Saccharomyces cerevisiae S288C: one gene and its partners. The protein of the gene in region 2 interacts with the protein of the main gene of each other region in a pairwise test. Each region holds a gene or a part of one and is shown on either strand. Other genes may lie near its edges.

Region 1 (5,313 bases), on a different chromosome or scaffold from region 2:
ATTGTTTCTTTTTACCTTACGAAAATATTCTTACTGTTCACAGTACCATTGTATAATAGTATTCATTTCCTTCCTACATTTTCTCTCCCTTTTTTGAGTTGAGGCCTTTTTATTGACTCGCCTTATACTCTACTTTATTTGTGTTTTGTAGATAGAATAAACATCAACAGTATAATTCATAATACTTTCTATTGCTTATTTCCTGTATATTCGTTTTTGAATATACTTTGTTCCCAACTTTCTTTTTAGTTTACTTACATTCATATTTACATGTGCGTTACTACTTATTGGTGCAACCAAGTGAACAGCGAGTCTTACCATTGGTAGTACCAATAGGGATTCTTTTTTTTTTCTAGGTGTTGAACCAAATCATAAGGATCATCGTCGACAAATCTTCTAGCAGATAAATCTTTCTCGGTTTTTTCTAAATACGACTTCTTCACTGCGTTCAAAGTATCAGCTTCATCCGGGGCCATCTCATACAGGGAACTGATGATCGGTCTATCTCTGGGACAGCTTGACTCTTTACCATTTGTTTCAATGTAACGCTGGTAGCCAGACTCAATCAAGTTTTCTAGCGGTTCCCTTATACCTACTTGGATACCCCTAGGTATCCATATCTCATGTAGTCCTTTGAACTCATACCTCCCAGTTGTCCTTAATAAAATATATCCTATATCTTTCAGAACGATCTCTATACTTCCAATAAATGGAGGTATTGCGTACCTTTTGTACTGGCTTTTTTCGCATATAACGCTTTTAATTCCACAATACCGTGATAACGGATGTGTGCCAGATGATGAATTGCACGAGTTGAATACATCAATACCTTTTTCAATGTTCTTGAATGTTTTTGATGGTCCTGGTATGTATTTCACAATCTGATTTATGGATCCTTTCGGAGGTACCAGGTAGAAAATCCCTCCCACGGTATAACAGCCTCCCTGTGATGTGCCCTTCATAGACTCATAAGTCTTCTGTTTTATATGCTTCCGATTGAATAAATCGGTTTTTCGCAGCCTTTGAAGCCAACGCTCGTCGATTAGTTCTTCTAGGCGTAATCTGGAGGTGGAAGTTGAATAGCCTGGAAGATCAAAAAGTATTTTACCTCCAACTTGGTAGGCTTGTACGGATCTAGTTAAATTGGGAATATGTGATACACCAGCAGCTTGAATCTTGAAAAAATTCTTCGGGTTCGTAAAAGCTTCTTGCATCACTTCTTCAGAGGGGGAGTTAATTTTCCCAGTAGAATCAATTTTAACCTTATATCCAAGATATTTCTGTAGTAGAGTATTGATCAAAGTTGATTTACCAACATTAGGGTTGCCTAGCAAATATGTGTAGTTTTTAAAGTAGTTGTAAAACATGGATATGTTCCAGTTTTTCAGCGCAGATATGGCGAATGTTTTATTTGAGTCAATTCTTAAAGTGTTCTTTAAAAATTGCTTCATGAATATAGGAACCTTTTTGCTGACAGCATTTTTATCTTTAAAAACTTGATCGCTTTTCGTTAACACTAATGTAGTATCTAAATCATTTCGTTTCAAAACATTGGGGTCTAAATGTAAGGGAAATTCTACAAAGGGGACAATATGCATAACATTTGAGCCTCTGGGGACGTAGTTCAGAATATCATTTAATGTGCTTTCGGGAAACTCTTCCGGGTTATAATTGTTATGATGAAGGGCATTACTGCACCTTTTGCAAATCACTCTCAATAGTAAATCTCTTTTGGTTTTGAGGTCAGGATCATTTTGAGTTGCCTGTTTCGAGAGCTGTATGTCTTGACTGAATAGCAAATACTTCAGATCTTGGAGGTCAGGATTTAGTTTTGAGTCGGGTAGACTTTTTGGCTTCGTATAATATCCTGGTTTACTAGGATCCTGATCCTGTAGTTTTATGGAACATGACGCACATTTCACTTTCACAATCACAGAACAGGAAAACTGACGTACGCCTCGAAGAGCATGACACAGATTCAACATTCCCGCATATTGAATTGTTCAAAGTAATTAGACGTGTTACTAGGAAGGTCCTTCGTTAATATTGCTCTGTTAAATGTATCTTGACCCATAACATCAAATAGTAGTTATCATCTTCGACGAGTTTTGAAAAATTTTCTGAATTTTTTCTTCCGATGAGATGAGCATGATATTTACAGAGAAAATAGAGAAACAGAATACTTGTACATGGGTAAATTCATTTATACTAATTTTTGAATTGTAAGAGAGATAGAGAAGGTCAACAATAGAATAAGTGGAGATGGGTAAAGTTTCTAAATCGACCAAGAAGTTTCAATCGAAGCATTTGAAGCATACTCTAGACCAAAGAAGAAAGGAAAAGATCCAAAAGAAGAGAATCCAAGGCCGTCGTGGCAACAAAACTGATCAGGAAAAGGCCGATGCTGCTGGTACTAGGGAACAACAGCAGTTGAAAAAATCTGCAAAGGAAGAGGTTTTTAAGGACATGTCTGTCGAAACTTTTTTTGAAAAGGGCATCGAAATTCCAAAAGAGAATAAAAAATTGAAGAAAAAAACTACGAAAGAGCAATCTGATGAAGATTCCTCCTCTTCCGAAGAGGAGGAAGACATGGGACAAAGCATGGCAAAGTTGGCCGAAAAGGATCCCGAATTTTATAAGTATTTGGAGGAAAATGATAAAGATTTATTGGACTTCGCAGGTACCAATCCATTGGATGGAATTGATAGTCAAGATGAAGGTGAAGATGCTGAAAGAAACAGTAATATTGAAGAAAAATCTGAACAAATGGAGCTGGAAAAGGAAAAAATTGAGCTTTCTTTGAAATTGGTTAGGAAATGGAAAAAACAACTTCATGATTCTCCAAGCTTAAAATTACTAAGGAACATAATCAGTGCTTTCAAGGTTGCTGTAAATTTGAACAAGGAAGAAAACATCGAAGACTATAAATATGCTATCACTGATGAGAAAGCATTCCACGAATTGATGTTCATGGTCTTGAAAGATGTACCACAAGCGATTCAAAAGATGGCCCCATACAAGATTGTAAAAGGCGCAAGGACCTTACCAAATGGAGGTAACGTCTCCAGGGTCTCGTCCATTGTCAAGTCGCATGCTGGCTCTTTGTTGATTTTATTGAATGATATTACTAATACGGAAACAGCAGCATTAGTTCTTCATTCTGTCAACGAATTGATGCCTTATCTTTTATCATACAGAAGGATCTTAAAGGAGCTTATTAAATCAATTGTTGGAGTATGGTCTACAACGAGAGAATTAGAAACCCAGATTGCTTCTTTTGCCTTTTTGATCAATACCACCAAAGAGTTCAAGAAGTCTATGCTAGAAACAACCTTAAAAACAACGTACTCCACTTTTATCAAAAGTTGTCGTAAAACGAATATGCGTTCTATGCCACTGATTAATTTTCAAAAAAATTCGGCAGCTGAATTGTTCGGTATCGATGAAGTTCTAGGTTACCAAGTTGGATTTGAGTATATTAGGCAATTGGCAATTCATTTAAGAAATACAATGAACGCGACAACTAAAAAATCCAGTAAAATTAATTCCGCAGAAGCTTACAAGATTGTATACAACTGGCAATTCTGTCACTCCTTGGATTTCTGGTCTCGTGTACTATCGTTTGCTTGTCAACCAGAAAAGGAAAATGGCAGTGAATCTCCTTTACGACAATTAATTTACCCATTGGTTCAGGTTACTTTGGGTGTAATCAGATTAATCCCAACACCACAATTCTTCCCATTAAGATTTTATTTGATTAAATCACTTATTAGACTTTCTCAAAATAGTGGTGTTTTTATTCCAATATATCCTTTACTTTCTGAAATTTTAACCTCAACGGCTTTCACTAAGGCACCCAAAAAGAGCCCTAACTTGGCTGCTTTCGATTTTGAGCACAACATCAAATGTACGCAAGCTTATCTGAATACAAAAATATACCAAGAGGGTTTGTCAGAACAGTTTGTGGACTTATTGGGCGATTATTTTGCTCTGTACTGTAAAAACATTGCATTTCCTGAACTTGTAACACCGGTTATTATCTCTTTACGCCGTTACATCAAGACTTCAACTAATGTCAAACTTAACAAACGTTTATCAACTGTTGTAGAAAAATTGAACCAAAACAGCACATTCATCCAAGAAAAGAGATCAGATGTTGAATTTGGGCCAACAAACAAATCTGAAGTTTCAAGATTTTTGAATGATGTAGCTTGGAATAAAACACCTTTAGGTTCTTATGTTGCAGTACAACGTGAAGTTAAGGAAGAAAAGGCCAGATTAATGAGAGAAAGTATGGAAGAACAAGACAAAGAAAGAGAAACAGAAGAAGCAAAATTATTAAACAGTCTGGAAAGTGATGATGACAACGAAGATGTTGAAATGTCAGACGCTTAACAACTCAGCAAGATTTGATTTTTTGTCTTGAATTCAATAGTTAAGTCTATAAATGTGTAAAATAAAGAAAAGTCTTTTTTAAAGCGTATATATCATTGTGCTCACATGTGCTAACATGTGAGCACTCCAAGCTTTCTCTTGTCAGCTGGATATTTTTATATTTTGGCCGGTTTATGGATAGAAAACACGTCAAACGTTCGATGGATCTTATAAAAAGTAATGATGTAAAGCAAGGTACAAAAATGAAAGAAGTACGGTTTACTGTTATATAATTTTCGAAATCGTTCAACTCTCTTAAAGTTCCTCACGAAATAGATATGATTGCTAACATAACGCAAAATTTAGTACAAGATATATGATTTCTTACTGCTGGAAGATATCTTCCAATCTTAATCTTGGGGCTATGTTCATGGATAATAATTCCTGGAATAACAGTTTTGCTGCATATGGAATAGTCATCTTAATAATATTCTCAGCACTTTTGCAGGTAGTACACCAACCACTATAGCCCATTAATCCACATTTATCGCAGACATCAACTTCAAAAGCATCTGAACTAATCATCAACCTTTCTAACAGCAATTGTGAAGCACCATACGCGATTACACAATCCCTCTCCATCTCACCCAACCTCAGACCACCATCTCTAGATCTACCCTCAGTTGGTTGACGTGTCAAAACAGCCCTTGGACCACGAGCTCTTGCATGCATCTTATCTAAGACCATATGCTTTAACTTTTGATAGTAAATGGGGCCAAAAAAGATGTAAGCCTGTAAACACTCACCTGTTATACCTGAATATAACATATCCTTACCGGAATAGTTGAAACCTTGGTCTACCAAAATCTTAGACATATCTTCAAGTTTAGAACCACCAAAACAAGTACCATATTCCAATGTACCATTCAATACACCAGC
Region 2 (4,599 bases):
TTTTTCTTCCGTAGACGAGGAAAAACAAAAATGATTAAATAGGCGCGCGCGGTGTGATGGTGATGATAATGATGATGATGATGATAATGATGAATAAACGTTTCGGTTTACGAGTTTCTTTAAATATACATATATGATATAAAAAAAAAAATACGTACCACTTACAATTTGCAAATATAGATGATCGAAACTGCCATTTATGGTAAGACAGTGGATGACCAATCTCGATGTGTCCACTGGCATCTTCCAAAGGATGTAATTGCCATCAGGTTTAAATGTTGTGATAAGTACTATGCGTGCTTTGAATGCCACCAAGAGTTAAGTTCTCACCCGCTAGAAAAATATGATCTCCTTGACGATGCAAATAAACACTTGATTATTTGCGGAGTTTGCCGTCATGAAATGACGTTTGCAGAGTATTACGACTACAATTCAAACCTTATTTGTCCCAATTGCAGATCCCCCTTTAATCCAGGCTGTAAATTGCACTACCATTTGTATTTCCAGAACCCTCCCCCCGCTATGTGTTGAGTGTTGTTCTATAAATGCATGCCATCTTAAGCTCTGCTGTGCTCTTCTCGTTAAGGAAAAAATGCGATGGTATATATATAGATATATATATATATATATGTATCTGTATATATATGTTCATACATATATATATATCTATTATTGTTGTTATTATTATCGTGATTATTATTTAGGTCCTCCCTTCTTTTTACCTGTTTTTAATCTACCCTCAAATCCGGCTCTTTTCTTTGGTACGGCACTACCGACATACTTTCTTTTCATCTTTTCTTGCTTATTTCTCTTTTTACCCTTGTTGTCTTTCCTAATCCTCAGATTCTCTTCTCTTCTCTTTTGTCTTTCAGATATCGTGTCTTCCACAACCCTCTTACGTTCGCTCCATTCAATCGCAGACTTTCTCTTTTGTGCTTCCTTTCTCTTTATAGCTTTGCGAAGTAGTTTTTCGTCATCCCTAATCTTAATTCCTTCTGCTTGTAACATAGCCTTTTGCCATTTTTCCTTTTCCTTCTGCTTGATTTGTTCTAGTTCGTCTTTCGCCTCCATCTTATTCTTCTTGGCTTCTAATAACTTTAAGTGTGATTTTACATCATTCTTAGCCGGACCCTTCGTTCTACCAGCTTTTCTTAACCTTTGTAAATCTGAAGTGGCCCTTGCACCATCATCGAATATGATATTTTGAAACATTACACCATCTGCGTTAATTTCTGAGTCCTTCTTGCCTTTTTTGAATCTTTTTTTCGAATTGTTTTCTAAATCACTATCGATGTCTTCCATATCGGAATCAGACGCAATTTCATCCTGATCCTGTTCCTGTTCACTTTCTAGACGCTTTCTTTTTTTCAACTCTTCCTTGCGTTTCCTTTGAGCAAGAATAGCCTCTCTAGAACCGGGTGCTTTCCTTTTACTCTTCATATCTGAAATTTTCGCTTGTAACTTGGAACGTAGTGCTTCCAAGTTTTTCTTTCTTTGTAGTTTCTCTTCCTCTGTAATAGACTTCTTTTCGACAGATCTATCGGGCTCTGTAGTATCTTTTTTAGATTCTAATGGTATTTCATTTCCCTCATCATCAAAGATCACCTTAATATCCTCTTCCTCTTCTTCATCTTCGTCTGGTGCTATTATCATAGGATCGTTTACTTCTACGTTCAGGTCGGAGTCTCCTTCCACTTTTGATGTTGCTTCCTTTTGCTTTTGCATTTTCATGTGCTTGAATTTTTCACCAGGTAGGACCACCGGCTTTGCGTCTTTCTCCTTCTTCTTCATTACTTCTAATGTACTAGATGTTTCATCATCACGTTGCTCCGGGTCTAATTTTTTCAGTTTATCATTTTTACTCTGTTCTTTGGTTTTCTTCTTGGCCTTCCATTGCTCTTGACTTTTTTCATCATAATAGTATTTTGCAGGAATTAAAGCCAATAAACCATCGAAGGCGCTTGAATTAGCACGAAGGCGCTCCTCAAGTGAATTACTCATCTCAGTCTCCTATATCTTTCAATTCCCGGACTTTCTTTATCACTTGCAACAACGTCTCAGTCCTCACTTGTTATTCATCTCTTGGTCATCTCATCTCTTTTATTGTACTTTCCTCTTTTCTTTACCGGAGATGAGAATAAAAAGAATTCATTTTAAAAAATTTTCAATTTGGTGTCTGGGTGAAACTTTTTAATCGTGTAATCCCAATTAAACCACTCTACTTTACTTTAATTGGTACACGAACTCATTACACACCTTTGCCTCTATTGCTTGTGTCAATCGTGTTGAGAGAGGAAGCCCAAAACAAGGGAAATTAACCTCTGTAGGCAAGCCATCACATTTGGCAATAGCAGCCCTCATTTAATTTAATTCGGCATGTGGCCGGCAGGGTAATGCGCTCTGCTGCTGACAAAATTGAAAGAAAAATTTTTTTCATCAACAGTTTGCAATACTTTCTTTTTCATATTTAATTCATCCATTCCGTCGTTAATTTTGTTCAAAACTGGTGTCCATCCTTAATACCAACTCAATTCTTTGATTTTGGCCCTCGATAGATTCAAGATGTCCCAAGGTACTTTATACATTAATAGATCTCCAAGAAACTACGCTTCTGAAGCTTTGATTTCTTACTTTAAACTAGATGTCAAGATCGTTGATCTAGAACAATCTAGCGAGTTTGCTTCTTTGTTCCCATTGAAGCAAGCCCCTGCATTTTTGGGTCCAAAGGGCTTAAAGCTAACTGAAGCTTTGGCTATCCAATTTTATTGTATGTTCCATATTTTATTTTAACACTTCCACATACATTGTTTTGCGCGTTTCCCGTTCGTTTATTTGGCACGTCATTTTTCTTCGAAACATAATGATGAAAAAAAATTTTATCAAACAGTTATCCCTGTCTGAATGGGTAATAATAGGTAACCTCTCATATGTTGATATTTGTATTTCTGATATGTTTCTTAAAGAAAAATGAAAGTCAAAATAACAAAAAGGAAGTACAAAGCGTGTCCTAATCCAGGAAAAAATATAAAGGATTGTTTTACTAACATTTCTTCAATTAATGGTTGTATAACCATCGAGATGATGTATATTTAGTGGCTAATCAAGTTGCCGATGAAAAAGAAAGAGCTCGCTTATTAGGTTCCGACGTTATCGAAAAGTCTCAAATCCTTAGATGGGCATCTCTAGCTAATTCCGATGTCATGAGCAACATTGCTCGTCCATTCCTTTCTTTCAAAGGTTTGATTCCATACAACAAGAAAGACGTTGATGCTTGTTTTGTTAAAATCGACAACCTAGCTGCTGTCTTCGATGCTAGATTGAGAGACTACACCTTTGTTGCTACCGAAAACATTTCTCTAGGTGACCTTCATGCCGCTGGTTCTTGGGCTTTTGGTTTGGCCACTATTTTGGGCCCTGAATGGAGAGCTAAGCATCCTCATTTGATGAGATGGTTCAACACTGTTGCTGCTTCTCCAATCGTGAAGACTCCATTTGCTGAAGTCAAATTGGCTGAAAAGGCTCTAACCTACACTCCACCAAAGAAGCAAAAGGCTGAAAAGCCAAAGGCCGAAAAGTCAAAGGCTGAAAAGAAGAAGGACGAAGCTAAGCCAGCAGATGATGCTGCTCCAGCTAAAAAGCCAAAGCACCCATTGGAAGCTTTAGGAAAGTCCACATTTGTCTTGGATGACTGGAAGAGAAAGTACTCCAACGACGACACCAGACCAGTTGCTTTGCCATGGTTCTGGGAACACTACAACCCTGAAGAATACTCCATCTGGAAGGTTGGTTACAAATACAACGACGAACTTACCTTGACTTTCATGTCCAACAACTTGGTCGGTGGTTTTTTCAACAGATTGTCCGCTTCTACTAAGTACATGTTCGGTTGTTTAGTTGTCTATGGTGAAAACAACAATAATGGTATTGTTGGTGCCGTTATGGTCAGAGGCCAAGATTTCGCTCCAGCCTTTGATGTCGCTCCAGACTGGGAATCTTACGAATACACCAAGTTGGACCCAACCAAGGAAGAAGACAAAGAATTTGTCAACAACATGTGGGCTTGGGATAAGCCTGTTGTTGTCAATGGCGAAGATAAGGAAATTGTTGACGGTAAGGTTTTGAAATAATCTCAATAACTCTTCTTCCATATTTTCTTCCCAATATACATAAGAGTCAAACAAAACGAATTTTCAAAAGAAAAAAGAAAAAAACCCTGAAGTCTACTTCATGATTACCCCATACTTACGCGTGGTTTAATTCTATGTAACGATTAACGTCCATGTAATCATTATATATATATATATTGTAATAATCTCTCTAATTGAGTATCACAATCTGCTGCGGTTACTCTAACAATATTTTGCATAAACTTGATTCTTCTCTTCTTATTTCATGTTTCAGTGGGGCATTTTCCATTGTACTTTTGCAACAATAGCGAAAAAAACAATTTTCCGTAAAGAGAAGCGTCAGTCATAAACGGTGTATGTTACCCGAACTGGAATGAATTTTATCTTAAGACTGGAAAACAATTTAGGATAGAACTGAAGATAGTGCAACACGTCTGGTGATATCATGTGCTTTCAAGCAGGATTTGTCACA
Region 3 (4,240 bases), on a different chromosome or scaffold from region 2:
AAGAAACCGATGAATTGTTTTATAAGCTATCACCTAGCGATAATAATAGGTAAAGTAGAGATCCTATAGCTAGTACGGACCTTTCTTTCGGACGTTCTATAGAGTTTTAAACGAGCGGGCGTAGAGACTCGCACTACGTTTTCTTCGCACTACGCTGAGGTCTTCCAACTCTTCTCCAGAAGGCTTTTCTTTCCCTTAGTCCACCCGATAAAAATGGGGCCCTTTGAAATTCCGTTTTGTAGCTTAGTTTCTCGGACTTAAAGCATGTGCTCACCATACTACCATCACCCGAATGTACAGCCAACGCCACTTTAGTGGATAATAAGTCATGATAGTGGACGAACAATCGGGGTAAAAGGGGTTGGAAGAGAACGGCTGGAATCCATCAATCAGCAGCGTTTAACGGTTCTAATTTTCAGTTACAAGGATGATCAACGAGAGCCTTATTTCTAATGTTCCCTAATGTATATGTGTTCCGGCTACTGTTTAGCTGAAGAGCTGTGTCTAGCCTTCCTGGCGGTTATCGTTCACAGTCAGCTTGCGCTTTATTTCATTAACATCGAACTAAATACTAGAGGCCATAACCGCAATTACAGCTGCGGCGATAATCTAATTTAACGTCAATGTCTGAATTCTTATTGCTTTGAAGATTTCTTCACCTTTCTTGACGACCATCCAGTAGCACTCAGTGAAATAGGAACAGAAAGAAGATAACGCTTTTTTTGCCGCCATATATTTCTTTCTATACAACACAGCTTCTTTATTTGTATCATCCGCGGAGAAAAGTAAAATGAAAAGCTTATAAAGAGCAATAGATACTAAAAAGAAATAGAATGTTTTCGGATTTACATACAGAAGGTTACAATATTATGTAAAAAGAATAATATATATAAACATCTATCCGTACGAGCGCGTGTACTAGTTTTTCATAGAAACCAATTTAACGTCGAATGTCAGTTCGGAATTGGCAGGAATACCTGGCAGAGCTTGCTTCCCGTAGGCATATGGTGCTGGAATGATGATTCTACGTTCGCCACCAACAGACATACCGGCAACACCAATGTCCCAGCCTTTGATAACTTCACCACGGCCAAGTTTGAATGCAAATGGTTTACCGCTGGTGTTCTTGTCGAAAACTTTACCGTTCTTTAACTTACCAATGTACCTCATGCCTACTCTGGCACCTCTCTTAGCCTGTGGGCCATCACCGATAGTACGGTCTTCGATTACTATGCCGCCTTCCAAAACCTTACTCTTTGGTTTATGCTTATCTTGTTCCTTTTTGCTTTTGGGTTTTGTTGGACCCTCCTCTAAGTCCTTCTTGAATTCGACCTTCTTTACTTTTTTAGCTTTCTTTTCTTCTTCTTTCTCTTCGTGCTTTCTCTTTTTTTCCTTTTTGCTTTTCTTAGGTTCTGGCTTAACTTCTTCTTTTTGTTCTTCTTCTTCTTCTTCTTCTTGTTCTTCTTCTCCATCATTATCTTCTTCATCTTCTTCTTGGACTTCTTCAATACGAACTTCTTCTTCCTCTTCGTCATCCAAGTCGTCCATGTCGTCGCCAATAATTTCATCCTCATCTGGGGTCAAGTCGTAGTCTTCACTGTCATAGATGTCAGCGTCTTCATCTTCGTCTTCACCTTCGACTCCCATTGGAGTATCAAATGGATGCTTAACATAGTTACCGCTCAAGGAGATAGCGTAAGAACCAGTGACAATGAATTGGACTTCTTCTTCTGGAGTAATGGTCAAGTCCAAAGATTGTTGGTATTGGGCTTCCGGAGATAAAGTCAAAAGGACGGATTCTTGGAACTCATCGTCCTCGTCATCGTCTTCTTCATCATCCTCACTTTCACTTTCAGCCTTCTTGCCTTTACTCTTCTTTTTCTTTTGGGTTTTTTCCTCTTCTTCTTCCTCAGAGGATTCTTCGTCTATTTCGTCTTCATCAAAATCACCACCTAAAAAATCATCATCTTCAAAGTCCGGGTTTCTTTTGATAATTCTTAAAGTCGATGGTTTGTTCTCTTCATCGATGGCTTCCGGGTTCAAAGCAGCCATAGTAATACGAACGGTGATGGGCATCGTGACGTCGATTGCTGGAACCGGGGTATAAGGTTCAACATTCAAACTGTAGGTAGCTAGTGGTAACAAATCAGACATATTGGGCTGGTTGGATGCTTGCTTTCAATTATGTATGAACTTTCACACAATTATGTATTATATAGAAACGTGTTAGTAGGCTCTTTTTTCGAATTTAAAAATTTTACCTTCACTTTTAAATTTTGCCGTCCTTTAGGAATGACGACAGTCCGTAGAGGGCTGAAAATTGAACAGCGAGCTAATACTAGTGGATTCTAATCAATGGAACATGAAGCATGTATCATAATCTCTGTTCTTGCCGGTTTTGACTATATAGATGTAGATGCAATCCAGATTTTAGTGAAAGGTAGAGGAAGCAAGCCAGTTGAAAAAGGTAGAAAGTATGCGATGTGTCATATACATTTGGCATATTCTCCCCATAATATCATGAACAGGTGATAGTAGAATGTTTGGAGCATTGATGACAGATTATTTCCAAAAGAAGTTTGATTGTGCGATCGCTCTCTTTTATGTTCTTTGATGCATTTTTGTACAATATATTAAAGTAACAAATCGGCGAAAGAACGTCAGTAATGTGTCGTTGCCAACCGTAAAGTGCTCGATGATTAATTTCACAATACATTTCAACCAAAGTGTTTTCATTCAAATACTGGCACAAAGGTTTGTTTTTCTAAGTGCCTATGGTGTGCGATAAAATGTTTTTGATGGAACACAGTTCATTGCTCAGAAAATACGCCATTTATCTATTTGTGTCGTTCTTCCTTCCAAGAATTACAAGAATTTTATTTTTTATTCAATGCTCAATCGTCTGCTCAAGGACTTCTGGTAAGTTACGTTAAATAATAGCTATGGCGCTTTTCTCATTTCTATAATGCAGAGTTGGTGGCTATAACCGTATTATCGATGTTATTACCGTTCGAATATATGTAAGCTTAACATTGCCGCATTAGTTTTGCTTGAAGATGCTCTGTCCATATTTTGTTAACCCGTCTTAGAATTGATCATTGCTTGCTTTAAATAATGAAGATCTTTTGACGAAGCCAATGACTATGCTGTCTTCAACTTTTGGCAGTAAAGCCAATTCTGTGAGAACTCGCGGGGAAACTCCAAAGCACACTTAGAGAATAAAAATACATGGAGTCGAAGCATGACTCGGATGATTTCTAACGTCCTGACATTTACTCGAAAGTATTTCACTACCAGTGGGGTAAAGGACAATATCGACGTCCGTTGGCTATGTTGGTAACTGAGATGAAGTTGTAACAAATTCCTGCAGGATGCTTTTACACTCACCGGTTGCATTTTCCTCATTTCATAGATAACAAAGTAAACAGAGCGCATTTTTTGGAGTATTTTATACGTCAATGCGACTTTGATACCTGAAATCCCCTTAATATTGGTAGGAACATTGGGCTCAAGCGATGCATTTTCTCTTGCATTTTGTTTCTCACTATTTGTCTTTTCTACTTTCAATTTTCTTATCTTTGTTCTATTCCCGTTCCTGTTCTATTCCCGTTTTATTTGCTGTGAGCAGGCCTTGTTATTGCCAACGTTTAAAACCATTTACTTTTTGTTTAAAAATCTCTCTTCTATTTCCACATCTCACCTAAAACAACGATCATTATATAACATGAGGTGTATTGTTTTTCCTCACCATACGATCAAATATAACATCACAAAGCTTACAGCAGAGCGACACTTTTTTGCTTAACAATTTGTATTTTGTATGATGCATCCAAGTCTTGCGCCAAGAAAGTCTACATTATAGGAAAGATCAAAGGAACTTGAAATAATGTATTCCTTTTTCTTTTCACGCCCTTTCTCTGGGTGATTGCCGCAATGAAGATATAAATATGCGAATAAAAAACCAATGCTCAATACAAATGCACTTATGAAACTGTAGTTAAATTATAATTTTACCTGCATATATATTATTATAGAAGTTCGTTAAAATAATTATATTTAAAATTTCAACATGTGTGGCTTGTCACCGTTCTTCAAAGAGAAAGAAGCAGACAAGTATTGCTTCAATAATGGAGTCTTCTTGATTTCAGCAATCAAAGCCTTGTCGACAACCTTTTGGTCTTCAACACGTTCAGCCTTGATTTCCTTGTTTTGTTGTTCTGGGAACAAGTTAGCTTCCTTC

The links. Proteins that work in one complex are often made in the same cells at the same time.
Region 1: the proteins of RRP14 (region 2) and NOC2 interact in binary tests that used the Saccharomyces cerevisiae proteins (3 or more experiments, as listed by UniProt).
Region 3: the proteins of RRP14 (region 2) and FPR3 interact in binary tests that used the Saccharomyces cerevisiae proteins (3 or more experiments, as listed by UniProt).

What each region holds. Positions count from the first base shown.
Region 1 is NC_001147.6:725,250-730,562, forward strand, and holds NOC2 (mRNA-binding ribosome synthesis protein NOC2), read left to right. Parts: upstream 1-2,262; coding exon 2,263-4,395; downstream 4,396-5,313. Other genes in the region: GEP3 (Gep3p), read right to left, coding at 315-1,985; DNA-directed RNA polymerase III core subunit RET1, read right to left, coding at 4,759-5,313. UniProt on the Saccharomyces cerevisiae protein: Involved in the intranuclear transport of ribosomal precursors.
Region 2 is NC_001143.9:280,329-284,927, forward strand, and holds RRP14 (ribosome biosynthesis protein RRP14), read right to left. Parts: upstream 2,002-4,599; coding exon 697-2,001; downstream 1-696. Other genes in the region: HOT13 (Hot13p), read left to right, coding at 181-531; TEF4 (translation elongation factor EF1B gamma), read left to right, coding at 2,563-2,767, 3,094-4,127. UniProt on the Saccharomyces cerevisiae protein: Involved in ribosome biogenesis and cell polarity. Required for the synthesis of both 40S and 60S ribosomal subunits and may also play some direct role in correct positioning of the mitotic spindle during mitosis.
Region 3 is NC_001145.3:119,171-123,410, forward strand, and holds FPR3 (peptidylprolyl isomerase FPR3), read right to left. Parts: upstream 2,155-4,240; coding exon 919-2,154; downstream 1-918. Other genes in the region: 60S ribosomal protein eL6 RPL6A, read right to left, coding at 4,057-4,240. UniProt on the Saccharomyces cerevisiae protein: Proline isomerase that belongs to an abundant class of enzymes that catalyze the cis-trans isomerization of X-Pro peptide bonds and can accelerate the refolding of proline-containing polypeptides. Specifically binds nuclear localization sequences.